Linked DNA regions of Drosophila melanogaster. The gene in region 2 interacts genetically with the main gene of each other region. Each region holds a gene or a part of one and is shown on either strand. Other genes may lie near its edges.

Region 1 (17,243 bases), 8.8 Mb from region 2:
CAACGAAACATCTGGGCGCCGTTGCTTTCCGGCAACAGTGCGAACGCTTTTTGGGCATCATGGATGACTCGAAGACGCTGGAGTGCTACATTAAGATGTACGCCCAGGAGGAGAATCCGGACCAAATTGACAAGACGGGAGTGACGCGGTTGCTCCACATCTGCTACACCATTGCCATGCAGCACTCGGGCAACGCCGTGCTGTGCCCGGCCATCAACCGCACGTTCGGTTCGGTGACCAAGTCCATTTTCCTGTGCCACGACAGTATGAGTCTGGGCTACGTTTGCCGCTGGTTCGAGCAGAACCTGATGCGGCTGGTGCTCCTCGTGCACAAGTACTGTGTGCACACTTTGTCAACCGCTTACCGTGGTCTAGAGCAGCAGAATCAGTCATGCGGCATTGAGTTGCAGACGCCGGTGCTTGAGCAACGTAATCCCTTCACAGATACCACCGACTTTAGTGGCGGTAGCACGAGGGAGATGGACTCGCTGATGCCGCTTTCGCAAGCCTGGCTGCTGGCTGGAGCTCTGCCGCCACTCTACTCCAAGCCCCAAACTGTGACACCGCCGGCCACAAAGGGAAACAACAACGTTAGCGCGTCCACAGCGGTACAGATTTTCAAGGACAAGCTGTCGATGATGCCGTCACACTGGACACTGCTGTACAACTCCAATGAGCATGGCGTGGGAGCCAACCGGTTTCTGCACCACGTCCTCGGCTATCGGGGTCCAACACTGGTCCTGCTCCATACCAAGGATGAACAGACGTATTGCGTGGCCTCACCCAGTGAGTGGAAGGAAACGCATCTGTTTGTGGGCGGCGAGGGCAGCTGTGTTATCCAGCTGCTGCCCAAGTGGGTAGCGAAATGGTGGAGATTTACAATCCTTACTAATGGAATTTTTTAAAGGTTTGTGATACTGGAAAAAAAGCCCAACATTCTTTACCTAAACACCAGCATACGCGGCTATCCGAAGGGCTTACGTGCCGGCGCCGATCCGCGAAAACCCATTATAGCAGTCGATGAGCATTTCGAGAATATTGACTGCAAGGGACTGGCGGCTGGACTCATGTCCATAGAGGTAAAAAGAACATGCACCCTTAGCAAATCGGCTTTCTTTCCAACTTATTTAGAGATTAGCAATTGACAAAATCAAATAGAAACCCTGATTTCATGAACCTCATTTGGAACCAAAATAAGCTAAGCAGACAACATGTCGAATATTTCTCTGTACTTTAATCGCATTCATGTACAATAAGCCTTATTCAACAGGGTATATGTTATATATGTGTATATGCATATATGGTATATAGTGTAAAATTCATAGACGTATATCGTTATAAACGGCATTATCTCCAGTCTAAGCTGTTAAAAACAGCACACGTATGGCTCCAAATGGCCAGGTGTGTGCTCTAGCGATGCATTTAAACTAAGTCTACGATTCTCCATACCCAACAACAGTCAACCAACAACAAGAACTACACGTTGCTCGCCATCTTTTCTTCGATCTCATCCGCAGGTGTGGGGCTGCGGCGACAAATCATCACGCGAAGTGCAATTGGACATCAAGAAGTGGCAAATCAAGGAGGCCGAACGGCAGCGGACAGTGAAGCTCACGGCCGCCGACTGGATGGACCATCCGGATCGATATCTCCTCGAGCTGGGCGGCAGGCAGAACTACAACAATTGATCGCGACTGCTGCGCATATATGTATTCTAAAAGCAATGGATGGGGAATGCCATTCGAAATGAGGGGCATGCCACATTGAAATTTACTGGGATTTGCTATAGTTATGCACTCGCAGCACGAGAAGTAATCACTGGACTGAATTTGTTTTTAATTGATGTTGATTGATATTCGGTTTACTTGTTTTTCTTTCTATTATCAGTGTTTAGTACTCGATTTGATTTATGTATGTTCGTAACGAGAATTCCGTGAATGCCTTTAAATGTACTTCGGTCTACTTGTGTATCCATGTATATGTCACACATTGTCTTCGTTTTCGTCAACTTTTTCCTTTAGGTCTTCTGTTATGTTCCGTATCTTTGTTCAAAAATGTAAAAAAGCAAGTATTATGAAAAGACATAGGATTCGAAGTGCTTAAACAAATATTTCAATAAATGTTACAAATGAAATGAAGTCGTATTCTCTACTTGCAAGCGTGGAATGTAGTTCTCATCATTATTTTATCTCATGTCACCCAACTAGATGATCCTAAAACAATGTTAGGGGATTTTAAATGACCAACAAAATTCAAATTTCTTATCACATATTAACAAAAGCAACAAATACATAAACAAAAGCATTAGTGTCGAAAATTGGAATGATATGCACAATGTTAGTACACAAATGGGTGCAGTAGCAAATGAAAATAATCACGAATTGTACGAGATTAAAACATAAAAGGCGGTTTCGATTATTTTCCAATATTATATTATTGATGTGTATATTAGTTTTACAATAAGAATTTCTATTTAAATACAAGTCACGCCCTTTTCTGACCGGCGGCAGTCACAAAATTCACAATCGGTTCAGGCATGTTTTTTTTTAATTAACTACTTCGCCACACAAAAAGTTGGAGACCTACATAACTATGCGGGGTCACCTAGCAGGGATGTATAGAGTAAAAATATCGTTTCGGGAAGGTCTGTTCACAAACAATCAGCACATAAAAAGTACTTACAAAATATCTGACCCCTATATTCAATGATGATTCTTTGGGATGCTAAGGGATGTGTGGATTCACTTGTGCGCGCTATCAGGAGCAGCGATTACAGTGAATGGCGATCTAAAATAAGTTGCTTTCGCTATGAAAACTAAGGCCACAATTCAAATGCCCCATTTGATGGGCCGCTAGAAAGTGTTCGTTTCATGAGTATTCTAAGCCTAGCACAAATCAAGATATGGGATGGGGAAAAACAATAAATATAAGCATAGCATATAACTGATAAGGGGCTTTAAGGTCAGCGCGTCTAGGTGATGTACTCTCGATCGCGGCGTCGCCGCGTCGTGGAGGCAATAAAGACCACGGGTTGCACACCAGCACCGTCATCTTCAGCGTCTCCATCCTCTCCGTCCACGTCCAAGTCACCGTCGTCAGCGTCATTATCCCCGCCCGTTGAGTTCGACCACTCGGACGCCGACTGATTGCTGCCAGTGGCACTAAACTTGAGGCTGCTTGACATGCCAAACGATACGGATAGCGAGGCGCTGAGTGACGAGGCATTCAACTGCTGGCTCACGTCCACGCCATCTTCGTCCTCGAAAGCGTCGTCAATGTGCGGGTGCTGATGTTGCTGGTAGTGATATTGTTGGTAGCGGTGTCACCTGCCTGCGCCCGCACCCAACAGCAGGGCATAATCATCGTTGGACTCGGGAATTGGCGCCGCTGCCGACGCGGCACCAGGGGGCAGGCGCAGGAAACTGCCACCGCCGCCAGCACCCGCACCCGGATCCCTTTCGCGCTCGCGAAGATGCAGTGTGTCGCGTTGACGGGTCGACGGCTGAGAGCCTGCCGCTCCCGGCAAGTGTAGTTGTTGTTGTTGGTAGTTGCTATTGCTACTGTTCCCATCGTCGGCCACGCCTGCTAAAGGAAATCGAGATTGGGAGTGAGTAGATTGACTTTCGGGCAGTGTATTCAGCTTGCCATCATACACAGGCACGATCAGGCGACTGGACGTTGCACCATACATGTTACCTGATTGTGACGAGTTGCCCGGCAGCTGCTGATCTTGCCGCTTGCTGATCAGATACTCGGACTCACTGCTGGAGCGGCGAGGACTGCGCGCCAGCGGCTGGTATGTGCTGCGTCCCTGGAAGCGACGACTCAGTGAACTGCCCACGACGCCCAGATGCTCGGTGACATCCTCCTGCATGTCGGATATGTCCATCATGGAGAGGAAGGCGCGACACCAGCTATGGTTCGGGTTGTTCCAGTACTGCGGCGAGTTGATGTGAAACGGATGGTGCGGGAAGCTGTAGATGTGAGCCACGGCCGCGATAAACATTTCGATGCAGATGAGGAAATTCTGGTTGGCGATAACAAATACATACATATTTGAATTGGTTTTTGGAAACTTTCACTTCGGTTTCATTTGTTGTGTTTGCAAATTTGGAAGTTATGCTTGATAAAAACTCTTAGTCATCAGTATTAAACGAACTTGGGACTGTTTTCGGTTATAAGATAAGGTTGGTATGAAAAAATCATGCTTAATTTACATATTAGCTCTTTACTTATAGAAATAACTTATTGCCAGATCCATTCGGCTTTTAAATAGGTCACTCACCTGAAGCAGGGAAGCCAGATTGGTGTCTCCCACATCCGACCCAAAGATGTCCTTAATAATATTATAGTATACCAGTACGTTGAGTAGCACTCCTTGGCTACGGTGGAGTAAAATATTCTTAACCAATCTTAAATGCTTTCATGTGGTACTTACAAAAACGAGAAAAACACCACAGCCTTGATGCACAGGAATTTGGGAATAGGCTTCATTGGTTTGAGATCCTCCTTGTTTGCACGGTAAAATAGCACCAGGCAATACATGGCCACGAACTGGGATATATTGTTGACCACCACAATATAGGGGAAGGCCACGTTGCCCGCAAACTCGCCCTCGCCGTAAACGCCGCATAGCTCGCAGATGCTACGAAATTCCGATTAGAGTTGACTGTTAAACGGAAAAGCACATCCCGACACTCACACAGAGATAAAGGTGGTAATGGGGCGCACGACCGTGTACTGGAGGATGCCGTGCTTGCAGTTGTGGATGAATTCACGACCCATCACCCACGGCCGCATGCAGCAGAGCGGAAAGAAGTGAGGCACCTGCGGCTTGTACTCCATTGTGGCCTCTAGGTCCATACCGAGATTCAAGTAGTTGAGCAGGTACACCATGAAGTTGTAGATAACGTACGCCTCGTAGCACTCGCGCAGTGAGTCCACGTAGATGGAGTGCTTCGGAAAGAAAAGGCCGATCCACTGCAAGTGAATAGAGAGTATTAGGTTTCTTGTGGTCTCCAATTCCGCAATATCGAAGCTCACATCGGTGGCCCACTTACCGCGTTCAAGGCGTAGATAGGCACCATCCACAATATGCGGATTATGTGCTTCTGCAGTATGGGCTTGGTAAAATGAATGACGTGTTGGATGATATGCCAAATGGACACGGGCACTGCGGACAACACAAACAGACCGCCGATGAGAATGAGCTGGTCATTGCGCTGGAAGCCATCCTTCACGGAGTTCACAATGAGCAGCGGGACCACGATGATGGCGAAGATGACATAGGTGATAATGAGCAGCGGGCGTATCCAGATGCGCCACTCCTCGAAGAAGCGTCTTACGTCCAAGCTGCACATCTTTGCCTCTGGTGCACTCCTTGGGAATGCTCCTTGAAATGTGCTGTTCACCGGAGTACCTAATATCCGGGTTGATATCGTTGATTCGTTGACGTCGACGCCGCCGCCCCGATTCTGTTTTCACTTGGGTTTCCGCTTTCTTCCGCTCCGATCCGCTCTTCTCCGCCAGAAATTCTCTCACAGCAGATTACAGGACACGGCGGTGGCACCCACGCTGGAGGCGCATTTTCAGAGATCTCCTGCTGGCAGAGCAAGTTCTTCGATCTATTGGTTTCAGTCCTATTGGCAGTAATATCGCGGCTTTCGTGCCCTTCTTTTGTGAGGAATCCAGTTCGTGGGTCGGGTGCCTACGTCTAATTGGTGTGACCAGCCAATGCGAAATCCGAAATGACTAAAATACAGACTTCCTCCCGGTTTTATATTATTTAAAATTTTTACTATTTGTTTTATTTTAAAGTTTAAAAGCTATCAGTAAAAAAATTAACTTAATTAAAAAACAAATGTCGAAGATTATTTAGATTTTGTTTGTCGCAGACGAAAAATATGAAAATTTTCCGATGATTTAAAAAAGGGAAATTTCGAGGGCTGCAGAGTAAAAAAATAAAACATATTTTGAAAATTAAAGAAATATGTCAAATATATAAAGTAGCTAACTCCAAACCGACTACTAATTGTTTCGTAGTTCAGAAATTTTTTTAATACTGAATTAATTGTAAAATATCTAATTTTAGTTAGTTCAATAAAACAATTCACGAAAGTTAGATGCATTTTATTTATTTATAAGATTAAAATATCAATTATGTACAACTAAGTTAAGTATTTAATTAGTTCTCTTGAAATGGATATAAGGGGATTTACAAGTGAGCTTGATAAGCGTGATATTTTTTCGTTATGGATTTATTAAACAAATATTCTTAGATTATCTGTTTGATTTGAATATATGATGTCAAAATGTTCCCTTAACATTTATACGTCGATAACTTAAGATGTTCCGTGTACGTCCCAAGGCTGTCTTTTGGTTAAAAGTACTGCGGAATCGCTATTACTATTTGCCTCGCCCCTGGTAGTCATTTTCATATACACAAGATCGGATTACGTTAAAAGTAATTAAAAAGTATTTGCATTATAAGAAACAGTAGTCGCCAGTGCAGACTAATTGTTGTGATGATGAAGAAAGAGGATGGCGTCGATGTGACTACCGGTGAGCATGAATCGCTTGTTGAAGTCGTATATTTGGTCTCTCAGCGCCTTCTTGAAGCTGAGCGTCACCACGCCGGGCACACTATGGTACAGGCTGGCCAAATCGCGGAGCGTTCCATAAATGTGTCCCATCTTGAGCCACCACTCGATGGGCGACTCATCCAGCTGAACGACCACCTCGTTGCGATATCGCTTAAGATCGGACTCCACGCTGCTGTCCGCATCTCGCTTCGGAGGATTTGGTATCTCGTTACTGTCAAACAGCAGTTTCAGACCTACGGGCATTTTCGTTTAGTCCATGGTTTATGATAATCGATTTAGTTCGATGCACTTACCCAACTTCTTTGGTGCACTGCCGTCCACTACTCTTGGTTCTGACTTAATGGCCACCACGCTGGAGGTAGCTGCCACTTCGTTGGATTCCCCTTCGCCCACTCCACCAAAGTTAATGTTATACTTATGGGTCAGCATACGAACGGTTCGCTCTAGGTTGTCAATGGTGGTCAGGCGGTGGAAGCGTGGGTCCAACAATGCAGCAGCGGTCAGATTGTCATTGGATATAACGTGCGCCTGGAGGACACTGGAAATGGTCCGCTTCAAATTCATCATTAGGGGATCGTCCTGCTCGGCGATGCCCAACTTCTTGATAAGAATCTTTGAAGTGATTGGCGAAAGCATGCTACACAAGGGAATGTCTTCGCCACGCAGCGTGTCCAAAGCAATCTAAAAGATTTCACACAATAAGAAAACTGCTTAAACGTCTCATTTAGCTTGATGGCTTACCACCAGAGCACTCAGGGCCTCCGTCACCGTCTTGGCTGATATAACCAGGTGATCCATGTCCTCGGACCAAGATATGGACTCGGCAAAGAACTTCAATGTTTCGTACAGTGTCCAGGGGAAGTGCTCGTTGTACGTGGGCATGGGCACCTCGGACACCTTGGAGGCAATCTCCGTTGAATGACGCTGCATTAGGTCCTTCACCTGCTCCAATAAAGTGGCCACCTCTTCGATCTCAAACACACGACGCAAACATTTGTCAATTACCGAAACGTAGCACAGCGAAATGGGTATATCTGCAATAAAAGATTCATATTCATTAGGAAGTCCAATATTTGATATATATTCTATATAAGGTAAATAATTCTGACTTGCTAATGCACTCACTTTTCTCTCGCAGATAGGTGTGCAAAAGGTCCTCTTCCTCGTCGTAGTTTATGATGGCCAGTGTGCAATTGGCCAAATAGAAGTCGGTCAGCAGATCGTCAAAGACGATGTAGTCGTTGTACTCCACGGTGGCATACAGCATACCGCGAACTGAGTGCGTCTCCTCGTCCAGAAAGTGATGGAAGATGCTAAGGAAGCGCCGCTGTTCAACATTCACCCACATCTCAAAGGCGAGAGAGAAGGGCTTCTCGGAGGTGAAATCGCGCGTGATTTCGCCAATCTCCAGAAACTTGGAGGCGTGCATCTCATTGATCAAAGAGTCGATCTTGTGTGGCTCGGGCATGGCTGCCGAATTGCCTAGGACTTGACGCAGGAATTCACCAAAACCGGCATCGTACAGAGAATCCACATTGCGCAAATCCTTAATCACAATGTCCGTAAGGGCTTCGGCCAGATTGGCGATGTTCGCCACGGCGGCATAGCCGCCTTCCTCGTGCTTGATGACACGCCCGTGCATCAGGGCACTCGATGGAGTGGCCACTTTGCGTTTGCGTCCGTACTTTGGTTCCATAACTAGGCGCTCCTCCTCCTCTACCAGATTTTCGGCCTCGTCGTAGGTGAAGGGCACCATGGTCTCGTACAGCATGGTTTGCGAGGAGGCGTCCTCCTCCGCCTGCATGGCCGCAGTTGCCACGGCTGCTTCGTCCAGTTCATCATCGGAAGCGTTATCGTGGTTCCGGTTATTAATGAACTCCAGTTTGACCCGCCGCGAGGAAACATTCCGCTTGGACAGCGGTGGATGGGATACATTACGCGGCGTCTTGCGCGGCGGCACATGGATGTCGTGCTCCTGGCACAGCTCCTTGAACAGATCCTTGTGTCGGTGCTGGAGATGCGCACGCAAATTGGTGGTGTTGCCATGGTTGGTCAGCACCTTGTGACACTTAATGCAGACCACATTCTGTTTGGTAATCACCTCATTATTGTCGTTCGAGGGGAATCCAAAGTAGCGCCAGTATACGCTTTTCATCTTGGGCGAGTACAGTTTGGAAAAATTTAGCTGCGACACATCCTCGTACTTGAGTTCGCCAATGGCCACGGGCGACGCTGGTACCCCTTCGCTCATCTTGTCTTCTGTGGGGGATTGGGATCTTCTTGTTTGTTTTGAATTAGATTCGACAACGATTGCTGTGCCCAATGCGTGTATTAGCGCGCAATTTCTCGATTATAGATAGACGGTTCAATAGTCAATAGTTTTTTATCTGTATCAGAAGTACAGTTCAGAGTTGCCACGCGACACGCCGTCAATCGATAAGGCAATAAAACGTTGCTAAATGCTTCAAATGCACTCTCATTTATTTGAGATTATTTTTACAGACTGCTCAAATATGAGAGTCACCGCTTTTTAATTTCAATACGTCTGACTGTCGTAAAAAATGCGATTTGTTGAGTATTCTCGCTAACACTGATTGCATCACCAATCGATAGCTGGGGAAATTTCTCGCTCGGCCGGGGGAATTTCTCTAGGGAAATTTTCGCTTGGCCTACGACGTGAAGTTGGTTGCGATTTCCTTTTTAATTCGTTGTTGGGAAGAAAAGGTGTGTAAATTTCGTGAGCGTCACGAAATTCAATGAAAATAAAAGATAAACGAAATGCAAATCGAGCCATCGAGTGTGCCAAGTGTGGAGGACACAAGTGGGCATCATTGACACCCGTAGGCATGAAGAAGTGCTCGGAATTACGGCTTAAACAAATCGAAATTCGCCAGCCACGTGGGCCTGCAGCTTGGTTATCCCATATATACGAGTTTACAAAGAGACATTGATGTTATTATTGTGTTTTTGCCCTCGTTGCAGCCAATCTAAACCGCCAAGATGGGTAAGGGTAACAATATGATTCCGAATCAGCACTACCACAAGTGGTGGCAGCGGCATGTGAAGACCTGGTTCAACCAGCCGGCCCGCAAGGTCCGCAGGCATGCGAACCGCGTCAAGAAGGCTAAGGCCGTCTTCCCCCGCCCAGCCAGCGGTGCCCTGCGCCCTGTGGTTCGCTGCCCCACCATCCGCTACCACACCAAGCTGCGTGCCGGCCGTGGTTTCACCCTGGAGGAGCTGAAGGTAAGTGAAGCCGAAAACATTATCGGAATCCATTGGCCACTAACAAAATCTCTGTTTACAGGGTGCCGGCATTGGCGCCAACTTCGCCAAGACCATCGGCATTGCCGTCGACAGGAGGCGCAAGAACAAATCCCTGGAGTCCCGCCAGCGTAACATCCAGCGCCTCAAGGAGTACCGCAGCAAGTTGATCCTGTTCCCCATCAACGAGAAGAAGATCCGCGCCGGCGAGTCCTCTCTGGAGGAGTGCAAGCTGGCTACCCAGCTTAAGGGACCCGTCCTGCCCATCAAAAATGAGCAGCCCGCCGTGGTCGAGTTCCGTGAGGTGACCAAGGATGAGAAGAAGTTCAAGGCCTTCGCCACGCTGCGCAAGGTAAGTTTTTTGGTTTCGTGATCCGCCGGTAGCTCGTTATACTTATTCGCCGCCAAACTATATTTGCAGGCTCGCACTGATGCCCGTTTGGTCGGAATCCGCGCCAAGCGCGCCAAGGAGGCCGCTGAGAGCGAGGACGCCGCCAAGGGAGACCCCAAGAAGGCCAAGAAGTAAACCACATCTTAACCTGATCGTTCTGTCTACAACATCAACCAGAATAAAATCTTAGTTTTTCTTAAACGTGAATATTTGTGCACATTGTTGTTATTGTCGCGTCTGGCGTAAGACTTATCGATAACCCGTGTTGCTATCGATAAGTAGCTTTGGCGCGTTGAATTCAAACTGGCGCGTTTGTTTTTAGCTGCTGCATCCAAAAAAAGAAACGTATGTTGCTTGCCATTACTTTTTTATTTTTTCTTATTTTTACCAGCTTCTTAATTTATTTGGGTTAAATTATTAAAAAGTTAAATCTGTGGTGCCATATAGAAGATTTTCTTAGGATACGCATCTTGAGCAAACGAAAAGGTTGCAGAAGCTACGTTTCTTATTTTTTTAAATATCTTTTGTTGAAATGTTAATTACAATATATTGAATTTTTCATTAGAATGGTGTAGGGTAAAGATTAAACTAAACAACTGTATTTTATCTCTGCAGTAATATATTTGCAATACCTTTTAAGGTATTTATGCCTATGTACATATGTATGTACATATGCGCGTTTCACTATATCTGAAAATATTGAGTTTAAAATTGATAAGCTGAGTGAGTGAAGGGCTTCACTATCGCGTTTCATCTTTTTTTTTACTCGTTTTCAGTTAAGCTTGTTTACTGAAATACAATTTTTGTTTTGATTTCCGTAGCACAAATTCAGAAACTAACCACAAAACTATGAAAAATAAGTGAACATTACGGCGTTGACCCAAATATTATCGCATTTGCACTTCAACCGCAAATATTAATTGAGGCCGCCACCCCGAAACTCGTATTCCATATGTTGGTAATAAGGACAGACCACAACCCACATCCCAGCGCAAAGCCAAAAAACACCATACACCATAAATACAAATGTACATATGCAAAAACATAACTCCTCCGGTCCTCAAAAAATAAAAAAAAAGGGTTGTGCTTCCTCAACCAAATGCGACAAGCCAATTCAATTATCGGGTGGTGCAGGCAGCATCCACATTCAGATTTAGGTCCCGAACCAGATGCAGATACATTTACAGATACAGATACAGCTACAGATACAGATACAAATCCCAATTGCAGTCCGACCCGCACCTTGAACCTTGTTTATGCACTTCACTGATTTTTATTTCACTTAACCTTGTTTGCCGCTCTTGTGTGCGGAGGGGACAAAAAGTGGGCGGGGCTGCTTGTTTCGGTGTCGTGTCAACTGCATTCAAATTTTTATTATTGAAATTTATGAGCGCAAAAGTAATTTTCCACCTAGTTTTTCCCGCTGCCCATTTTGCACCACCCCTCAAAATGTTTTTTTTTCCCCGCTGAGTTTTCCTTCTTTTTGATTGTTTCTCTGTGGGTTTTTGCTTTGTTTCGACTGTTGTTTATGGACACGACCATGCTGGTGACTATGGCTACCGGGGTGGGTTACTGCCTGCTTCCGGATGCTCCTGTCTCGCATCCGGGGGGCAGTGGCTCGGCACAAGCGTTAAACAAGGATACGTAATTGGCAATTGTTTTTCTATTTTTGTGTGTGCCACCTTTCGCGGCGACAGTTGCCGGCAAAAGTTTTTTGCAACAAGTGCGCCGGGTGACAAATCAAATGCAGATTTACTTTGCGGTTCATTTGAATGCAGGATACTGTTCAGCAAGGTAAGTACACAGGGAAAATCACCATTTATTTGCACTTTTTGCTTATTGAATTCCAAGTATGAGTATTTTATATAATAGATATGAATATAATCAAACCATATATCCTTTTTGCACTAGAAACATCTTTCAAATATCTATTAAATTAAATTACTTAATAAATAAAATTTGTTAACTTTGTTTTTTTTTTTGTCACTGCACAAAGCTGCGCTGACTGCAACTAATTTGGTTATGCCAATGATGTGAATTTAATTTAACACTTTCTTTCTCGCAAATGCATTTATGTTGGATTCCTTCTCTTTTTATCGCAAAATCGATTTGCTGTTAAATCTAAATCGTCGAATTTCCAACATAATTGATGGCATGGCACCCCATTTCAATTCACTGGCTGTGGGTTAATCTGCATATGCGAGTGAAGTGTCCTTGCGCTGCATATGAGCATATTCACATCTGTATATATATATATATGTATGTACCTATGCCCGAGGTCCTGTCTGCACCATAAAACGCAATCAGTGCTTAATGATCCATACAGCAATTGGATTAGTGCCCGCCAGTCTGAAGGGAAAACTACTGCTCGTCTGCCGAAGGACAAAATCAGGACCAGAAGCAGTCGCAACTTCCAGACCGATTTGCATTTCGAACGGGGCGTGGATTAAGCTGATGATGCGGCTCATGTCCAATCGATTAAATACTTAAGAAGATCTCTTGCCAAAAAACAAATTCCATTGTTTGTGTGCACTAGTGCAGCATCTAATTTATATCCTTCTTATGTTTCGTGTTTAGTATTTTATGCTAAGCAATGAAACTTATGTATGTATGTTCTTAGTACATATGGTTAGTATTTTAGTATAAAATATATATATTCTTCAAACCAAATATTTGTATGTATCATTTTTTTCGATCGTTTTCCCAACACATGTTACTTTCATATCGCAAGTTTATCATCCCATCCCTGTTTTCTGTTTTATGCCCCATCAATTTTGTGCCGCTCTAATCCGCATCCTTGCTATTTGATGAGCTATAGAAATTAGCCCATATTCCTCACTCCTCCAGTCCGCAGCACACAATAAAATGCTTATTATTTTTCCATAAAAAACCACCCAAAAAACCAAACAAATTAATCAAATATGCAAATATGCAGAGGTCGCCCCCCCTTGCCACGTCCCACATTTTCACGCATCATCTATCAAAAATTGGCACGCCATAAAAAAAAAAATGAGCACAACGATGCAAATGAGGGACGTTGCTTTTTTTTTAGCCCACTTGGCTCGATTATGAGATCAATAGAGGCGGCACACGATCCTGGCAAAACAAATCGTAAAAAAAGGCAAATTGCAAATGGCAATGGGCGCGAAATATCAAAATCGAATTAGAATCACAATGGGCGGGAAATTTTCGCATATGCAAATAATAATTGCCGGAAAATATGCAAATGAGGTGGGAAAGCGGCTCAAGTGGGCTGGCGTGAAATTGAAAATTGCGCACACCAAAGTGTTTTGCTGAAAAGTGAGCACTTAAAGCGATTCGCAATTGTTCTGCTCCTGCGAGTTGAATGTCCTTTCAGCTGGCCACGTGTTTTTGGGGCGTCCTTCGTGTGTGTGCCACCAGCACGAACGACCACATTTAACTATCTATATGTATATAAGTATATTTGTGTATATAAAACGAAACCCTTTGGGCTTTAGGCCAAAATCAATTATCATTTTGGGGGCGATGGGCGTGGCTTTTAACAATAACACAACAAGCATAATGAGAATAACGCTGGAGTGGGAAACCACAAAACAGCTAAATGTTGCATGCCACCAGACTTTAAACGGGAAAGGGTAGATTGGCTTGAGTTATTTACGTGACTATAAATTTTCATGTTTTCGAATTTAAATGTTCGAGAGATGCTTTAAAATCAACAGGAAGTCTTTTAATTGGCCAAATTTGATTAGTTAAAAGAGTGCTGTAACTTAGAATGTTGGTTTAGGTAGCTAAATAATTGAATCATTTTAGGTTAATATTGTTAGATGTTGCAAGAATAAATTAAAACAAATATTGGTGCTGTTAAGAGCGGCAACTTTCTAGTTGCAACTTTGTTATTTTGAGATTTTTACGTTTTCATTTCATTACTATTCCGCCAGTTTGGAAGCCACAACTTTTGGCAGCAAGACTGAAAAGCCTAAAAACGAGAAAATATGTTCAAGTGGCTGGCAGATGATGTCCGATTCAGTTAGCCAGGCCATCTCCACAGCAGACAACGCCTTAACCCTTGACGACCAACGACCCATTGAGAAGCCCTTGAAGCGACAAAACAATTACGCAACTGTCCAAAAGCAAGTGAAACCGAGAGTTTGCTAAAACCACAGCCCAGTTTATCGCATAATCAAGTGCAGACAACAGATTTAAAGTTTCGAATGAAAAACACATGTTAGGAAATTGCCCAGGGAGTCCTGTGCAACCTGTACAGTAAACTACCCATCCGGACCACAAGTGAAACATTCAAATGCGGTCGGCTGGGCTTCAAAATCAAGTGTCTGTGTGTAATGCGATATTTAAATTTTAGCCAAAAAAAAAAATCGAGTGCCGAAAAAAAAAAACGGTCAGATAGGAAATAGATACACCCTGGGGGTTGGATAAGTCCGCTAATGTGAATACAATAGAGCCACTTGAAACGACCGGAGATCGTTTACTCACGCCACCAGAGCACCCTCCTCCTCATCCTCCTCATCATCCTGGAAGCAACCAATCAGTTCGGATACGGAACAACCCCTTCCCAGAGACCGCAAAAAAAAAAGGTCGTCTGACTTTCAATTAATCAAATTATCGCGCGCCCCGAGGGTTGGTGGAAAATGCAGGAGGTTGGGGGCGACGAGGTCCTGGCACTCGAAAGTCGCCGCAGATGGGAGGACAAACATTTGTCCACTTTTTGCAATTTGTACAGGTCAACTGTAGGTTTTTGCTCGATTGTTTGCGTTTTGCCGCGTGTTTTGTGCAACATCAATAAATTGTCAAAATCTGTCAAAATTTTTAATGACTGTGTGACGGCTAATAACCGAAAATCGATTTGTTCAAGGCGGTCTATTGATTGCAATTTGAAATTGAGTTTGTTTCATTTTTTATTTTCGAATCCTGCGGACGTTTTTATGGATTGCTTTTCCTGGACAAACAATCTGTGTCTGTGCGTTTAATGTTCAGGGAACATTTTAGAGTTTTTAACGTCAGGCGGTTATTTTTCATCCATCTAAAATTTTAAAGAAATCCGAACATGTGGGCGATGGCATTCGTTCAGCGAGGGGGGTTCAATTGAAAAAAGTTTAAAATTCACTGAACCGATGGGCTTGTTTTGTTTATTTAACTACGTTTATTTCACTTTATATTTTATTTAATTTTTTATTTTATTTTACTTCTTTTTTTCCAGTGCCTTGCCCTTTCGTTGGATCGTTTTCACTTTGCCCAAACCGCAAGCCGGGAAACTTTCGCACCTGTGTCGAATGACCAAAAAGCAGAGGCAAGGAGCCTGCAAGTTAGACCACAACTTCCTCGTCGCAGGACGATGTGAAAAAGCCGATGTCTAACCCTTTTTTTTTTTGCTTAATTGCGGTGCCAGATCATAGCCATCCGTCCGTCCGTTGGTGAAACAAAGTAAAACGACAGGAGTCCTGCAATCCGGATCCTGTGAATTCGAGCCGGAGTCAATGGTTGTATATCGCATGCAAGTTATTGCCCTGCAATTGATTCTCTAACATCTTGTGGTTCCACATAGTCTCCGCTGCCATCAACGCCAACGAACGGTTAAGCGCGACATCGACACTTCTGCGCTGCGCCGCGGCCGACGCCTGCTGCGCCGCTGCCGACGACTTCACTTGATTGCTAGGGACTTAGGGAAACATTTTGTACGCTAGATTTAGTTTCAAATGATAAATTGCAATAAACGGTCGCTTGCGATCTTCAAAATCAAATCGATAACTGTAATTATTAACTGGCGCCCGAACAGGGACCAGCGAATAAACGCGAACGAAAGACAAAATTCTAAGTCGCGGAGCAAAATCAAAATTTTGCTAAAAAATATTCGTTGGTTAAATTGTGCCGAAGAAACTCCCGCGAGTTATTAACAAACAAAATTCACGGTCGGCTATAAAATAAAATTGTTTGAGAAAAAAACAGATTTTCCGGAAGAGGAAAATACTTATCGGCATAGCATTGCCCATTGGTGGATCACAGTTTCTGTCAGGCCAGCCCGCAGAAAACCTTCTTTGGAGTGCTGACGTGGATTCCCCAGTAGCCCAGGCAAAAAGGACAACATTCACCCAGCCAGGAGGAGTGACCGCAACAATTCTATGTTAAATAAATGCAAAACGAAGAACAGCAATTTCATCGAAAAGGAGAAGGAAAAGTAGAAGTAGAACGCCGAGAATAACGGAACTACAGAAGAGCAACACGGATAACAGTTAACAGTGCAACCCAAAACGTAACGGCAGAGGTAAAGACGACGAACGGCAGAGAACGGCTGCGTGAACCAAAGTGCAGACAAGAAGGAAAAAAAAAAAGAACAACAACAGCACAGCCGTAGCAGCAGCAGCAGCCCGCCAAAAAGAACAGGAATAAGAACACGTTGACGACGAAGAAGCTGAAGCTGAAACAACCGAAGAGGAGGCAGAGAGACTACAAGAACCTGGAAAGTACACTGGAAAAAACATCAGCAATTTGAAATTCAGGCATCCACCCATAATAAAACATAAGTATACCAAAAAAAAAAAAAAAAAAAAAAAAAATTTAAGTATATTATTATTATTATATTATTATTATAATATTATTATTATTATTATATTTTTATTATTATATTATTAGTATTATATTATTATTATTATATTATTATTATTATATTATTATTATTACATTATTATTATTATATTATTATTATTATTTTATTATTATTATTGATATTATTATTAATACTATATTTTCAACCCAGTTCCTAGAGATCTTCTGAAAGGAAAATTTTCCTATTTACTGTTCCTTTCTGGTACACTGTTCTCAAAGCAAAATAACCGCGGTGAGCTAAAATTTATTGCATGCAAAAAAAAAAAAAAAAATATAAAAATAAAAAATAAAAAAACAAAAACAAAAGATAAATAAGCAAACACATACACACGCATTCCATATTTTCTGCCCACAACTTTTGTTAAGTTCAAATTGGTTTAGGCTTGTTT
Region 2 (16,189 bases):
TTTATTATACATTTTACACTAGTCAAGTGCATTGAGTACTAATATAGTGAATTTACATAACAACCAGTGTCATAGCGGCATAACCAGCACCACAGAGGCCCACCGATGCGACCTGGCAGTAACGCAGCTCTTTGCAGATCCGGCGCCGGCGCAGTAGAGGATTGGCTCGCTGCCTCGCCAGGCAAGTACGTAAGCAGGCTCCTCCGAGCTCCGCGGTCTTTATCAATGAGAGTGACGTAGGTTGTGTGCAGACCGGACGGGATTCGGTCGGCGAGTGGAGGAGTTGGGTGGCACTTTAATGTGGTCTGCAAGCCAACGGCCAACGGCACGGAATCGGGGCAATACGTTAAAAACTGTTGCACTGCGTCGCTGGGACGTCAGTTCATTCAGAACAGTCGAAGTGCGCAGACCACTGGGATCCAAACACCGGCAGAAACCAGGCCAGGAGTCGAAGTCGACCTCCCACCTCCAGCCAGATCCGAATCCTATTTGGGACACCACCAGCTAGAGCCAAGTCAAGTGCCGTTTGCCGTAAACATGCCACGCATCTCGTTGCCCGGCAGCAGCCTGCTGGTAGTCCTGGCACTGATCCTGTGCCTCAGCCTTCCAATCCGGGCGGTGCCCACCTCCGTGCTCGCCCAAGACACGGAGCTCTCCACCAGCGCCAACCACAAGCTCCAGCAGCAGCAGCAACAGCAGCAGCAGCATCACCAGCAGCAGCAGCTCCAGCAGCAGCAGCAGCAGCAACAGCCGGCCACAGGTAAGTGCCAAAGTTCAGTACAGGTGGAGCAGCAGCTCCGCCCACGCCCACTCTTAAGGCTAAAGGTCACTGGGAAAATGCGAGTTTTTGAAAAATGCCCGGCCCGAGAAGGCTGTGCCTCCAGCCTCCAGCTCGTCGTCTGCGTGGGTTGGCTGGCTGCTGGCTTTTGAGGGTCGGGCATCCGCTCGAGTGGCTCCATCTCGGAGCTCATCTCGTTTAGCATATTCCATTTCCCATTTACCGCTCGTCGTTCGCTGTTTCTGCCAGGAAATTGCGTAGGTGTTTTGCGCGAGGACGACAGCTGTCGTCCTTTTGAATGCCGCGCTCCATGAGCGATTTATAAATTTCCATCCTGCGGTTGTTTTTCTTGCACTGGCTTAGTGAATCATTACTGTGCCTGCACAGCGAGAAAACTACCAATGACTTTTCTGAGTAAGTGGGTAGCTATATGCACTCTTGAAAGAAAACTATCAAATAAAATAAGTTTTAAGTCTTTAAATTAAAGTTTCAACAAAAAAATGATTATATAAATTATATTAAATTATATACATATATATATAATAATCAAATTTCTGCCAAAATATTCACGAAACATATATACATATATCAAGCTGCGGCTTAAAGCACAATGTTGCCTTTTCTTTCAACAACTCTAAAGAAACATATGGTATTCTGTATATACAGCTCCACGATTTCTCCCAGTGCAGTTACACTGTTCATATATGTAGCTCAGCGCTCACCAACACAAGCACACGGGAACCTACAGCGCAGTTAAACATCGCGTAGGCGTTCGCCACACAAAATGGCGGCCAGCCTCCTTTGTGAGTGTGTGTGAGTACGTGTGTGCGTGTATGTGAGTGGGGGGGCCTCCATGCTGTTAAAGTGTGCGTACGTGCGCGCGATTTCATTTCTATTTTTAGAAAGCGAGTTAGGCGAAAGTTTTCAGCCCCTTTTGCGCCCCTTCCGCTCCTCCTGCACTTTCTGCTCGCCTGGCGCCGTTCGCCTAGCATCGCCTTACGCCATCGCCATCGCCATTCACCACATCTTGGGTGGCAAGTGCCACCCATTGCCGCCCCCACTTTCACCGCAGCATTGAGCCCTTAAGTAGGCAGCCAAGCTCAAGCTGTTAAGCCTTTCCGATCCATTCCGAGTATAAATACGCGTCCGTGTGTGCAACACGTTCGTTAGCGCTCCAAACCGCAGCAGCAACTAAGGCCAAAAGTAGCGGGGCTTTGGTCAGATGTCAGTTGCCAAAAGCCAGCGGCAACCACATCAAAATGTAAAGGGCAGGTGCCCAGAAAAGGGGAAGGAAGCATGTGATTGGGGTGGACAAGTTCAAATTTAAATTTTAACATTTCGCTGCATACTTTCAAATCTTTCAATGTTCTAATGTAAGTTTATAGATACAAAATTTGCCTTTGGGTAAGAAACAAATCTCTAGGGATTAGATGTTTTCGAGAGCGATAAGCTCTCCATCGCACATTTTTGTAGCATACTTCCAGGCAGCGCCACTAACAGATTTTTGCCCCAGCACAGTTCGCTCTAAATAGATTTATTATGCCCCAATGTGGGCGGAATGGCGCCCCCGCCCCTTTCTACGTGTTTACAGAGCCACATATGGCAACCTAATGACAAAGGCAAACAGGCTGTCGCCGCCAAGTGTCCAGCTGTCGGTAGTGCAAAGTGAAAACAGGGTCCACCCCACGGATTAATCCACGCAGCAGCAGTCAAGTGGGCGCATTAAATATTTATGAGAGCAGTGCCTGCTGACCCCTCGCCTTTTCCTTCCTTCGCCTGGCGATGAAGTAGTCAGGAGGGAAGGGTGAGCACTCCAGTTGGCACACCCAATCCCGAAACCACAGGCTCCCAGCGCATTTTCCTGCGCTTGACAAATTTTTCCATATGCTGCGGCTATTAAGTTATTTCTGTGCGGGGCCGAAAGAAACGCCCAAGGACTTGGCCGTGGCGTTAATTGTGTTCATGTTCGTGTCCACATTCCCATGTTCATGTCGCGCTGTCTGTGGTGGCCCGACTTTTCGAACAGCTGCTGGCCAAGAGCCACCCACCAGCCCCCAATCTCTGCGCATGTGTGTGTGTGTGTGTGTGTGTGGGGAGCAAACAACTTGTTGATACTTTTGCAGTTCAGTGAACAGCCTGGTAGAGTAGAGACCCAGGACGACGTCAGCCAACGTCAGAGCCTGCCAGCTTTCTACTCATTTATTTATTCAAGTACCCCACCCGAGGAGCACCCATCCGGGCTGATGGACATCCGTGAGCAGGACATTTGCCACACATAAATATAATTGAGGCGGTGGCGTGGGCGTCATGGAGGCGAAACATGAGCATTGTGGGCATTAAATGACTGCCAATACGGGGAAGCGTTTAGCCAGCGGGTTTCAGGAATTGTCGTCTGTCCCAAGGACTCTGGGGAATCGCAAACTGGGTTACGGGCGCTCCATAAAAGCGTATCCACATTCAGAGAATGTGGAATTTTACAGCTCGACTAGAGTTGCACCAGGGGACATACTGTTTCTCGGAAGGAACTTGTGTTTCCACGCAACATGTTAGTCATCACTTTGAAAGTAATCATATCAAAATAGCTTTAAGGTATCAAAATAATTCGTTTTTAGTTACGATAGTGGTGTCTAAAACTAAATAGTCACCTGCAAAGTAAGTTAAGTACACACTTCGAAACATTCATTTCCCATTCGATGCGAACCGCTAGTCATTTTATGGGAGCCCATTTCCTGATAGCCGGATATTATACCACCTGGCCCTTTCAATTGGCACACCCTAATAACACATTAATCATTGGGGTCGTATAAATCATGGCTATGCGGGTATCTACTCCATTCCACTCTATATGCGATATCTCAGTTCCAATAATCATGGAGATAAGCTATAGATACTGGTATAGATATTCGCAGAAACCTGCGAAATACCTCATACAAATCCACTGCGCAGGGGAGTTGAACGAGTTTGGCTGGTCCATCTGAACTCGGGATTGGATGGATGGGGCAGTTGAAATAACCGCATGCCCATGAGGAGGACTCATGTCAGGTGCTAACTGAATCCTAATTGGCGGCGGCCAGCGCTCAATTAAAGATATCAACCGATCCGAGATATTAAAGCCAATTCAGCCGTCCAATTAGCGAACCAACTGTTGCGCAAAGACCCTTTTTTTTCGATTGGATGCCAGTGGGGCGGCAATGCGATTAGGATTAATAAGGTCAGTCCTCCTCCTCTGGGTATTACATCGGGGATTAAGTGGACATAAAGCCGGCTGTCAGGGCGCTAAAAGCAATTAGCCCAGACCGAGAAATATGCTCGGGCGTATAAAACAATTATGGTACTCGTTCTGCGGACGGCGGCTAATTGGTTTTGCGGTCACTTCTCGGCTGTGGGGATGTTGGGAATTTATTGAATCAGCCCCGGGTAAATGGTAAATGGAAAGTGGGAAATGGCAAGTTGGAAATGGAAAATTCGAGTAGCCCGGACAGCAGCAGCCGGCGTTACCCATTCCCCATCTCGTTCACCAGCCAAACGCTCCGAGGAGGCGAGTGCCGTGCCCACGGCGGACAAGAAGTCGAGTCCGGAAATTGTGCCCGCTTCCTTTAGCAACGCTCCGTCGGCCCGAAACAGCCCAGTTCCGGTCTCCAGCCAGCAGCAGGAGCAGCAGCAGGTGCCGTCCGGAGTCTACGCCCTGCCCTCCAACGAGGAGATCCTGGCCGCCGTAGCGGCCGCCGCCCAGAACAGCCAACAGCAGTTGCAGGAGGAGCCCTCCGCCCTGGAGGAGGCGGTGGCCAGCTCCACGATGCGCAAGCGGGGCATCAATTACGAGTACAATCCGTACTCCGTCGCCTCCAGCGACTACGGCAGCGATGTGCCCAGTGGCGTTTGGTCCGACGACTACGAGGCCGCCGTTCCTGTCAGCTATGGCGAGCGGGATCTCCAGGAGATCGATGACTACGTGCCAGAGCGAAGAGGTGCGTCCAAGAGCGTGGCACATCCATTGCTAACTAACAAAAAACTTAAATTCCAGTGAGTAGCTCGAGTGCGCGAAACAAGGCCTACGACAATTTGCAGAATCTCCTGAACGCCGAGGCCTATCTGGAGAGCATTCCCCTCTCGGTGCCGCTGACCTATGCCAATCGGAACTACAACGTGGATGAGCGCAACAAGCGGGGTATCTACTACAACGTGGGCACTCCCGGCGGCAATGGGGCGAGCAGCCTGGGCAGTGGAAGTGGCTACAACGACGAGGGTATCAACCTCAACAAATATCGACGATTCAACGACATGCGGTGAGTTAGTAAAGCAACACGGCGTATGAGTGATATTTTACATACATAACAACTATTACTAAGGGGTAACCTTTTGTATTCTTTGCTCCAATCCCAGACTTAAACGCGACACCCAGCTCAATCCCGCCGACATGCTGGCCCTGGTTGCCCTGGTGGAGGCCGGAGAACGGGCGCGCAAGGAGAGCGATGCTGAGAGCTCCGGACCGGTGCCCATGATACCCTCCGATGACCTGGACTACGCGCCCGCCGGCAGCTGGTTCGACGTGCCCGTACAGGCGGACTACTACGGCGCCGGAGTGCCGCTGGACAACCAGAACCAGGCGATGCCCAAGTACGAGTACGTGCCGCGTCAGCACAAGTACAGCGGAGTCAATAGCCGTAAGTCCCGATTGGGTTGGCAGCAAGAGTCGGAGGTTCGTGTTCTATAACTTTCAATTATCCAGCAGGATTCGGCTCCTCGAAGCAGCGCTACATGGTGGCCAAGAAGAAGCGCTCGGTGAACCAGAGCCAATTCATGAACGAACCGGTGGCGGAGCGCGGATCCGGCTACAATGGCGAGAAGTACTTCTAAGGATCCCACGCGGAGATAGTCTACGTAGTACTTAATGATAGCCACAGGCCCCACGAAGAGTATTTCTCGTTTTTTTGAGCATTGAACATATTGAACATAATCCAAGAAACCAAAATCCAAATTCAATTTCTAATTCAATTATGATAAAGAGCTAGTGTCAAGGTCAACTCGTGTGCAATTTTTGTGTAGAATTTCACTTTCAAAAAACCCAATGGCGAGAATTAAACTATTGTTGCATGCAATGTGGTGCGTCAGGAGCATAATCAATCAGTGTCTAGGATTTTGTCCCACGGAATCCGCACCGAACTAAACCGAATCTATATCTACGCCACCTAATCCCTGTAAGAAATCGGTGTCTATGTACAACTACTGCAATCTGAAATCCAGCGGAACCGCAACTTGTATCTGTATCTACTTATCGAACTAGAGGCTTCCCGACTAGTACAAAACGAGAGAAGAACGTCAACTATGAATATGATTATATATAAAAATATGAATACATCTATACATGCATATATCAATCCTAATCGAGCTCAGAAGCGACAAAAGCTCCACTAACCGCTTTAATTTAATCTAAACTTATACTAACTAAAGCTAAAGCCAAAGCCAAGTATTTTGAATGCCATCACATTCCGAACTACACTTTTTATGTAACCCCGCCGACTTGGGGACAAACGATCTGACAATTGATGAGAATTTTAATCGTATTTAGCGAGTATCGCAGCTAATATGTTGGTAAATTATATATATATATATATAAATATACGTATACAATATGCAAACAATTTGTGGATAAATTTGTTAAGAAATGGCTCAGGGCATAAATATTTTAAATATTCTATGCCGACGACGAAGAGGCGTATTTTTAATTTGAATAAAATTGTCTGACTGTTTTCGGTAATAATCAAATATACATACATATGTGTACTATGAATATGGTAAAATAAATTATATTATACAGACTAAAATAAAATAGCGTATATATATATGTGTGTGTGTATACAATACAGATTATATATAACTATATATATGAACACTCAAGTAACCTTAATATTATATACTTTCCCTCTGAATATTTGGCCTTTGATTTACGCCTTAAGTTCTTTGCGTGAACTTAGTTTGAAGATACATTTATTTACAATCAACTGATTTACGATTAATAAATACGTCTTTGGTTTGAAAACCAATCAAAATTGGATGAACTGGGAGTTTTTTGACCTGAAAACCAATTGGCTGTGCTCAATGGCAGAAAATTCAATGAAAGTGGGTTGTTTTTTCCCACCCATATCGAATCTTAGAAATGTGTCAATTCAAAGCTTACATCAAGTTACAATTAGGGGAATTTGTATATTCAGCTGCGCAGTAACCGCCGCTCAATGAAAAAGTCATAAAAATCATTTTCCACTTCCACGCTCGGTTGCCAGCCGCCAACGAAAGTTTGAAAGGAAAGTTAACTAATTTGAAATTGGGAGACAATTCAATGAAGACCAATTAACAACAGCTAGACTTCTGGGGCCTCTCGAGCGAAGTGTGTGCCAAAAATTAAATAAAAACCAATTGGCCTTCGCACACGCGTTGACATCCATCGCCATTCGGATGGGTTTCATCATCAATGTTCCATGCGAAGCCACATTAAAGTGCTGCATGTCCGGTGAATGAGTGGAAAACTAGATAACCGTGAAGCAGCGCCATTGTGGCCACTGCAAATGGGGAAGCATGCTCTGCTCCGGACGCCAGATGAGATCCAACTTTGTCCAAACTTAGCTCGAAATGGCCATAAACAATTGAATAGAATGGCCGTAAACAGTAAGCCAAATAAACAAAACATTGGGCTCCAGATACACAAATGCGTTTGACACAAGGGGCTCTGTTTTTTTTTTTTATATTATTATTCTAATGACTACGGCATGCACATCATAGCAGTTATCAATGTGCTGCAATCTAACCTGCATTGAATGCAAGTTGCATGGACACTTTATACTAAATTCAGACTAAGTTACAAAGTGTTATGCCTTTTGTATGCCAAATTGTTGCCATATGGCGGGGAATCTAAATAAGCATTAATATGTATGGAGTGTGTGCAGGAGCATTGGAGCCTGAAGATTCTGGCAGGGATTCGAGGTGGCCATTTGCATATCTCATCAGCAAATGACCAGGAAGATAAACAAGCTGGGCAACGAGGCCAGGAGCAGTCTTTAATGAATACGTTTAAAGTTAATTTATTATGAATATGAATATAACTAATGTTAACTGCTCACGGGAATGGCAAGCATTTGTTTTAGAGATTCCCCCACGGGCAGCACGATTTCGCACCTCTCATCATGAGATCAATCTGCTGCAGATGTTTTGAGTTTGGCGTTAATTAGGCAGCCAAATAGGGAATTCACTTCGATTCATTCCAAAAACTACACAGATGCGGCAACATTTTGTAAATATATTTATATATTTGATACATTTGATGGGCCATTGTGTATCGGGATCATCTCCCGAAATTTATACTAATTTCATGCACGCGTTTTGCATGTTTAATAACCGCTTTATATGTCCACCTGTAGACGGAATTATATCGTGTATATCTGACTAAGGCCAGAAGATTATATAATGCATTCAAATGACTTGCAGGTAGAAAGTAACTTCATATTTAAAGTACTTCATTTCAAAGAGCCCCAAAAACCGATCAGGATTGAATTAAAATTCGGATGAGATGGCTCATAAGTTAGCCGTTTGAATGGCTGTTTCTCCTCCATTCGAGAGTCTTTCGAAATTGGCTCAAACACGCAAACATGCCATTGATATGCTGGCCAAGTCAAATTTATGCGTGGGCGCATTCGAAAAAGCCAACTTGCCCAGGACAGCAACCTCAGCGGGGACACGAACCCAAGGTATCTGAGGCATCTACGATGCAATTGAATGCGAGGCACATGAAATTGAACGACGGGTGTGGCGCGTGTTGAACCAGGCATTTGACTTTGTGGTCTGGATGGGGGAATATCATCATCGGGTTTCGGGCTTGTGACAAACCATTTCCGAACCCCCAGAAACGAAGCCACCAAGATAAAGATACGCGCCAAACGACAGGCAGGCCAAATTACTCGGCGTTTCGGCAGCGGAGAACAAGATCCCAAAACTCGGGACCCACCACCACCACAAGTACATACACACGCACACCGACGCGAAACGAGAATTTCGTTTTTTTTTTTTTGGGAACGACGCACAAAATCAAAGAGTATTCCAGCTAGCCGCTTCAGTTGGTGAGCAACTTTCGAGGCAATCGCACGTGGACTTCGATTTCGGATTCGTTTCGTTTCGGTTCGGTTTGGTTTCGTCGCCTGAGAATATATCTCAATCTGTTTAAAGAAGATATTAGCATTCGGCAGCCGCAGTAAGGCCTATATATCCCCGGAAGCCCCAAAGATGACGGACGAAGTGCCCGCCAAAGGCAGCATATTGGGCAGTAAGTTGTGGCTTGGACATTCGAAGCATCTGTTTCGAGATTGCACCACTGGAGTGCATCATGCATCATGCGGCGGTGGTGCAGCAGTGCAACAAGTGGGTGGGCTGAAGGCACTCTGGGGATACAAGATACAAGTTTGACCTCCAAAAGGTCGTTCGTGTGCGTGAGTTCCAGAAATCTTCCTTGTTCCCCCAGTGCGTACGTGTGTGTGTGTGCCACATCCTTTAGGTTTTTATGTTGCTGTGGCTTTTTTTAGACGCCGCCCACGCCACGCGGCATATTTGATTTGTTTTTGGCGTTTATATGCCCGGGTACTAATGTCCGGACAAGGTCAAATGGAAGTCATAGATATAAACAATATTGGCAGGCGAAAATATGACCAATTTGTATGCGTATCCCAAACAAACGCGACATTCTTGAAATTCGTCTACCTATCCCAACAAAAACGGCGAAAGTTTGCCAAGCTTTTGAATCGGGTAAATAATAGTGTTTACTTTAAACAATCCACGCGAAAATCTCACTCGGCGTTTTCAAATAAGTTTCTCAAAGGGGTTACTTTAAAAGTTGATTTTAAAATTTCCAAATTCCACAATACTAAAGTTACAAGAAAGTACATAATTCCACAAAGTTAACTATTAACAAATGACATTTCTTTACTCTGCAATGTTTATATTGCATCATATTTGTGAAATATTGTTTATCGTATTTCATGAATTATTTATTGTTTATTTGAAAATATTATTGTATGACTATCACAGTGATGAACTGAATCATTTCTTTCCCACAAAGATCTCAAAGGAATACATTAAGAATGCTATGAATTATAAACAGGAATATTTCTTATGACCATGTTAAATGAAAGCGTTGTTAGGAGCGATCTTATTTTAGCCCTATATAGATTAACCCAAGCACTTGAGATTTACCACCACCACGCACCACCTAATCAAACAATCAAATTAGTCTGGAAGACTTGGAGAACTTATGCATATAGAACATCTGAAATGTATTGGTGCTCTGCAGCATTTAACTCAGAGCAAATAAAGATTAAGAAAGCGAAGAAAGTACCAACGAAGTAGGGATACTCTTACATAAATCCATTAATAAGGATGGTATATAATGTCCTTCGAAATCAAATCATCTTTTCTGCCACCAAATGATAGCTTAGCTAACCTAGCTAGTTTATGGAATTAGTTAATTATTAGAATATATCAAACGAAAGAGTATATCTTAAGGCATTGAGGCAGTAATTACACAATATCGAAGGCACAATTAGCAGATATAAATAATCGGTTTGCCAGCTCGAAAGTCTTATTGTGACAGCCATGAAAGTGAAATTGAAAACACAGACGACGAATTTATACCCCTCGTTATCGCAAAGCAACGCACTCATAATTGCTGGACATGATTGCCTCCCCCAACCGATTTCAAAAGGGGGTGGACTATATCAATGCGCGTGCGGCGGCTCACTCTACTGACCCTACCCAACTGCCGGTAATCAGTGGCTGCTCCATGTGGAACTCGTTGCTCACCAGGTGATTGGGTTCGGAGCACCCGAGTGGTGTCATGTCCCTATAAATACCTTAATGGTAATGTGTGTAAGGACTATCCCCACTGTCTTTAGATGTTTGCTCTTCCTTCCTTCAATTAAAAAAACAAACGAGAACGTTGTCGTAACGACTATTTGATACCCCTTACTCAGATAGCGATTCAATAACACGGACAAGCAGACGGACAGGGTCAGTTTGTTTCGACTAGTGTTTCCGATCAAGCCCATGTCACACATACACACGTTTCACACGAGTCTAGTATACCCTTCAGCACTTCAAGTAAGGGGTACAATTAATTCCTTAACTTGCTAAATGGAGTCATTTGGCGCACCATGTCCGATGTGAATATCATTGGCATTAATCAAATTGACTTGCCAAGCAAACCAACCGAATGACTTATATATCGAGTTGCATTTTCCATCCATCCAAAATGGACGAATCAAGTAAAAATAAAGATTTACAAAGACCTTACCATCTACTTTCCAGAACTCGTGCCCGCCCGCTATGTGCTGGCCCTCCTGGGGTCCATCGGCATGGCCATTGTGTACGGCCTGAAGGTGAATCTCAGCGTGGCCATGGTGGCCATGGTGAACCACACAGCCATTAAGGCCCACGGAGACGGCGGTGGACATGGGGGACACGGCAGCGTCATCCTTTCGAACGCCTCCCAAGTGTCCCTGGTGGAGGAATGCAACCCGCCGGGTGGTGCCTCCAATGTGACGGCTAAGGTGGAGGACGGTCCCTTCGACTGGAGCGAGCCCCTGCAGGGAACCCTGCTGAGCTGCTACTTCTGGGGCTATTTGGTCTCGCAGATTCCGCTGGCACACGTCGCCGAGAACTTCTCCGCCAAGTGGGTGATGCTCTTCTCGGTGGCCATCAACGTCGTGTGCACGCTGCTAACGCCCGTCTTTACTGAATTGCATTACGGTGGCCTGATTCTGATGCGAGTGCTTGAGGGCGTCGGCGGAGGAGCCTCCTTCCCGGCCATGCACGTGATGATCGCCTCCTGGGCCCCTCCCACGGAGCGCATGGTCATGTCCACCATCATCTACGTGGGCACATCTGCGGGTACGGCTCTTTCCATCCTCCTGGCCGGCGTGTGCTCCGCCCAATGGGGCTGGGAGTCGGTCTTCTATGTCATGGGCGCACTTAGCTGCATCTGGATGTTGCTGTGGGTCATTCTGGTCCAGGACAACCCCAACAAGCAGCGTTTCATCAGTCTGGAGGAGCGCCAAATGATCACCAGCTCGCTGGGCACCGAACAGAAGACGGAGCACCACCCGGCGGTTCCATGGGGCAAGGTCTTCACCTCCGTGCCCTTCTGGGCCATTCTCATCGCCCACACCTGCAGCAACTTCGGCTGGTATATGTTCCTCATCGAGATTCCCTTCTACATGAAGCAGGTGCTCAAGTTCAACGTGGCCAGCAATGCAGCCCTCAGTGCTCTGCCCTACTTCCCCATGATCATCTTCAGCATCTGTCTGGGCAAGCTCCTCGACAGTCTGCAGGCCAAGGGTAAGTCGGACACATTATTGGACCTTTGAAGGGTGAGTGGTATAAATACCTTAATGTGCTTTCTAGGTAAGATCACCACCACCGTTGCCCGCAAGACGGCCACCTCCATTTGCACCCTGATCCCTGGAGTTTGTCTGCTGGTCCTCTGCTACATCGGATGCCGTCACTATGAGGCGGTGTCTGTCATGTCCGTGGGCATTGTGGCCATGGGCTCCATGTTCTCCGGCTTCCTGTCCAACCACATCGACATCGCACCGAACTTCGCCGGCACCCTGGTGGCTCTGACCAACACGGCGGCTACGCTACCTGGTATTGTTGTCCCCCTCTTCGTGGGCTTCGTCACCAAGGGAAATGTAAGAGAAATGCATCTGAATATTCTCGAAAATATCTTCAAATGGCTTTCTCGAATCATTCTTTTAGCAAAACATTGGCGCCTGGCGCATCATTTTCGGAGTGACCATCGTGCTGTTCGCCTTGGAATTCCTGGTATTCGTCTTCTTGGGATCGGGCAGCGAGCAGCCGTGGAACAAGGCCGGAACTCCCAAGGATCCCGAGGCCAAGGACGAAAAGACTCCGTTGAAGGAGCTGCCAACTAAGCCCTAAGCCAACAATCTCGCCCCGAATCTTCTGCCTCAATTACTCGACGAACTGCTGCTTATTCGGATAACTCTTGGATAAAGCCAGTTCAAAGTGGAATGGTCAATGCTGGACTGTAAATACCAATTACAAGTGTACAATGCCCACCCTGAATAGCGAATTCATTGAACATACGTTCGCTATTTAGGGCGTGCACTGTAGTTTTTAGATCGCTGTAAACCAATAGTTAGTAGCCGTATCCATTACGGATAAACACTTCAGCCCGCCTAATGTACTTAACACTCTTGATTTCAAAAGTTGTCTACAAATAAAGCGACGTAATAGTGGATGCACGGGGGTTCCTAAACAAATTCTGGTGGGGAAGGGAGAATGGGTCTCAGCCTCAATTTCGATGGAAATTCTGGGTGAATGACCCCATTTTCCTGTTTATATTTAGCGCTAGCAATAAGCCATTCCACAGAATCTCAGAGGATTTAGTTACAACTCTGTACGTATAAAAAAATATATAAACAGGGGATCTGTTCTATCTGTTTGGTTGAAGATATGAACAATTGCATGATGTAACTAAATGGCAAAAGATGTAAGGCTAGAGGATGATCCTAACTCAACAATGCAAAGATTGGGTTGTGAAATTGATTGTAACATCTAAGAACCAACTTTCTTTGCATCCTTATCACAATTTAAACTCCGATAACCTGCGGCGCCAAAAGACAGAGTCCGTTATCGATATTCCGGCAGAAACATATGATTTCATGTAATCAGTTTGCCTTTGCCGGTTTCAACGGATTGCGGAAAATGTTGAAAGCACGGAACGTTTGTTTGCTGTCCAGGAGGTGGAAGAGTGGCGCCAAGAAGCGATGGAATGTCCTGCAGAACAAGAAGAACAACTGTGACCGAGCGCTGGAGAACTTCGATGACTTCTACGGAAGTGTCTACGGCACCCGGTGGAAGAACATGCGGGCGGCGCTTCTCACGAGGCACAAGTATGTCGCCCTGGTCAACAATTTCGGGGACACGGAGCAGACGTGCGCCATGCTGGAGTCAGATGGAGCCATCAACATGAAGTCGCTTATTAACCTGGCGCAGGATCGGGTAAAGGACAGCACGGAGACGGTGCCGGAACAAGGCAAATCACGTCATGAAATTGAAAGCAAACTGGATGCACTGCTGCGGAAACAGCAGGAGCGCGAGGTGGCCTCCATATACCCGAGCTCGCCAGAAGATGGTTCATCGGCGCCACTGCCGCTGGAACTGAAGTTTGACAACGTAGAGGAAGATCAGCCGGAGCAAGTGAATAATCCCTTCAAGCAGAGCCTGACGAAGGCTTTGGAGGAGGATGTGAAGCTGGACGAGCATCGGTTGGTGGATCCCCAATTTGGCACAGGCGGACTGTATGAATACATGCCTGCCCACAGCATCAAGGGCATGGAGGACTGGGTGGCAGAGTCGGAGCACTACAAGTACTACCAAACCAGCGCCGACTTCCCGCTCGCCATTGAACCGGAGCCTTCCTTTCACTACCCCGAGCATCTGTCCCTGTACACATATGAAATGGGCAACTGCTCGGACTTCAAGGGACCCAAGAAGTGCATGACCGGTGTGCTCTCCCACTTTATGATGGATGGTGCCTCGACTTTGCCGCCTCTCTTCCTGCAGGTGAAGCCTGGCGAGCGTGTGCTCGATGCCTGTGCCTCTCCCGGCGGCAAATCGCTGCTTATGCTGCAGACGCTGCACTTGGACCACCTGGTCTGCAATGACATCCAAGAATCCCGCCTAAACAAGCTGCGCAAAGTGATGCAGGAGTACCTGTTCGACTACAAGGAGCGCTGGGCTGGAAAGCGCCTCATCCTCAGCCAGAGTGACGCCCGCAATCTGGACCAGTACGAGCAGTTCGACAAGATCCTGGTCGACGTGCCCTGCACCACGGATCGCCATGTGCTCAACGAGCAGGACAACAATATTTTCAAGCCGACGCGCATAAAGGAGCGCCTGCGGATACCAGAGCTCCAGGCAGGCATCCTGGCCAACTGCTTGCGTCTCCTGCGACCAGGCGGCAGTTTGGTCTACTCCACCTGCTCGCTGTCGCCCATCCAGAACGATGGTGTCGTCCACATGGCTCTGCAAAAGGTCTTCACGGAGTACGGCATCACAACTACCATCAAGGATCTGAGTCGCCACACGGCGCTCTTCAGCGATGTCTTCAAGTTCGAGCACCCAAAGGGACTCAAGTATGGACAAATGGTGGTGCCCTACCTGCCGGCCAACTTTGGACCCATGTACTTTAGTAAAATAACCAGAAATGTGTGATTAAATGAAAGTTGTTGGCTGATTAACAAGACTATATAACTGTTGCCCCAATAAATAATAAGAGTTGTAAACTAAAAAGGTACCTTTATATTTAACATACTGCTTCCTTTGGTAACCAGTATTTTCTACTGCTGGAATTACATTTGCTTGTCGGTCTTCTTTTTCTTTTTGCCCTTGATGGGCAGAGGACCGGGATTCTTGAAAATGGTGCTGGAAAGTATAGTCAGGCTCCTTAAGTTAAGTTCTAGTTAATTGAAGTTTAAATTGTACTCACTGGCAAGTGGTGCATATGGGACTGTATTTGCAGAAGACCGAGAGGCAAACCGAGCAGACGTAGCCAATGTCGATCAGCTCACGATGGCAGAAGCAGGAGGCGCGGTAGTCCACTTTGGGCGGTGGCGGCAGGACCAATTTGTGACGGATCTGCGGGGCGGGCAGGAAGACCCACAGGAGGTACTGCAGCAGGCCGTCCAGCTGGGTGACCTTGAGGAACTGTCCGGAGGTAATGTCACAGCCTTGCTGTAGCAAACTGAGGGTCTTGTCCAGGGCGCAGGTATCGATCGTGATGCCCAGTTTCTGGGCGGTGAAGAAGACGTTCATGAACGTCATGTACTGCGAGGCGCACTCGTTGCTGCCTGTGACGACCAGGATGCGGGAATGCATCTTGACGCCAGGAGCCAGATTCCTCTGGAGCTGTACGGGAGTATTTTGTTTTAGATTTGGTTTCCCAAGGCGATTCCTAGCTATTCTCTACCCTTGATATGTAGCACAGCGCCATGGACATGCTGCCGGCCAGGAGACTCTCACAAGGAGCGCTGAGCCGTGGTGCGTTCATCAGGATGCTGCCCAGCTGCTGCTTCACCGTCTTCTCCACCAGATTAAACGCCTCGTACTGCCCATCCACTTGGCGCAGTTCCACTTGTCTTCTGGGCAGCGGATACAGGAAGTTTCTGTAATGGAAGAGCCATTAGGTGGCGTACATGTGTGGCAGCCTCTACTCACGTGGCATGGTGGGAGCAGGATACCACAGCCAGTTTGTTCTGGGCCTTCTGCATCAGGTGAGCATTCCCAAAGGCAATCACCGCCTCCAGGATTTGCGTGAGGTTCTGTGGGTTCTGGCGCACGAAGTGCTGG

What was found.
Region 1: of l(2)10685 (region 2) and Dref, changing one suppresses a phenotype caused by changing the other (phenotypic suppression), as found in Drosophila melanogaster (one study listed by BioGRID).

The regions. Positions count from the first base shown.
Region 1 is NT_033779.5:9,958,033-9,975,275, forward strand, and holds Dref (DNA replication-related element factor), read right to left. Parts: upstream 9,198-17,243; 5' UTR 8,854-9,197; coding exon 7,728-8,853; intron 7,637-7,727; coding exon 7,344-7,636; intron 7,284-7,343; coding exon 6,896-7,283; intron 6,836-6,895; coding exon 6,513-6,835; 3' UTR 6,115-6,512; downstream 1-6,114. Other genes in the region: CG4658 (uncharacterized protein), read left to right, coding at 1-853, 908-1,079, 1,518-1,688; CG5850 (uncharacterized protein), read right to left, coding at 3,323-4,027, 4,286-4,382, 4,439-4,645, 4,703-4,980, 5,061-5,360; RpL13 (ribosomal protein L13), read left to right, coding at 9,603-9,845, 9,907-10,215, 10,285-10,389.
Region 2 is NT_033779.5:1,134,322-1,150,510, forward strand, and holds l(2)10685 (lethal (2) 10685), read left to right. Parts: upstream 1-13,500; 5' UTR 13,501-13,543; coding exon 13,544-15,055; 3' UTR 15,056-15,128; downstream 15,129-16,189. Other genes in the region: CG4577 (uncharacterized protein), read left to right, coding at 538-760, 4,300-4,746, 4,803-5,064, 5,162-5,442, 5,508-5,635; MFS3 (major facilitator superfamily transporter 3), read left to right, coding at 9,050-9,089, 11,123-12,151, 12,218-12,504, 12,572-12,754; Tfb4 (transcription factor B4), read right to left, coding at 15,193-15,265, 15,330-15,748, 15,810-16,005, 16,058-16,189.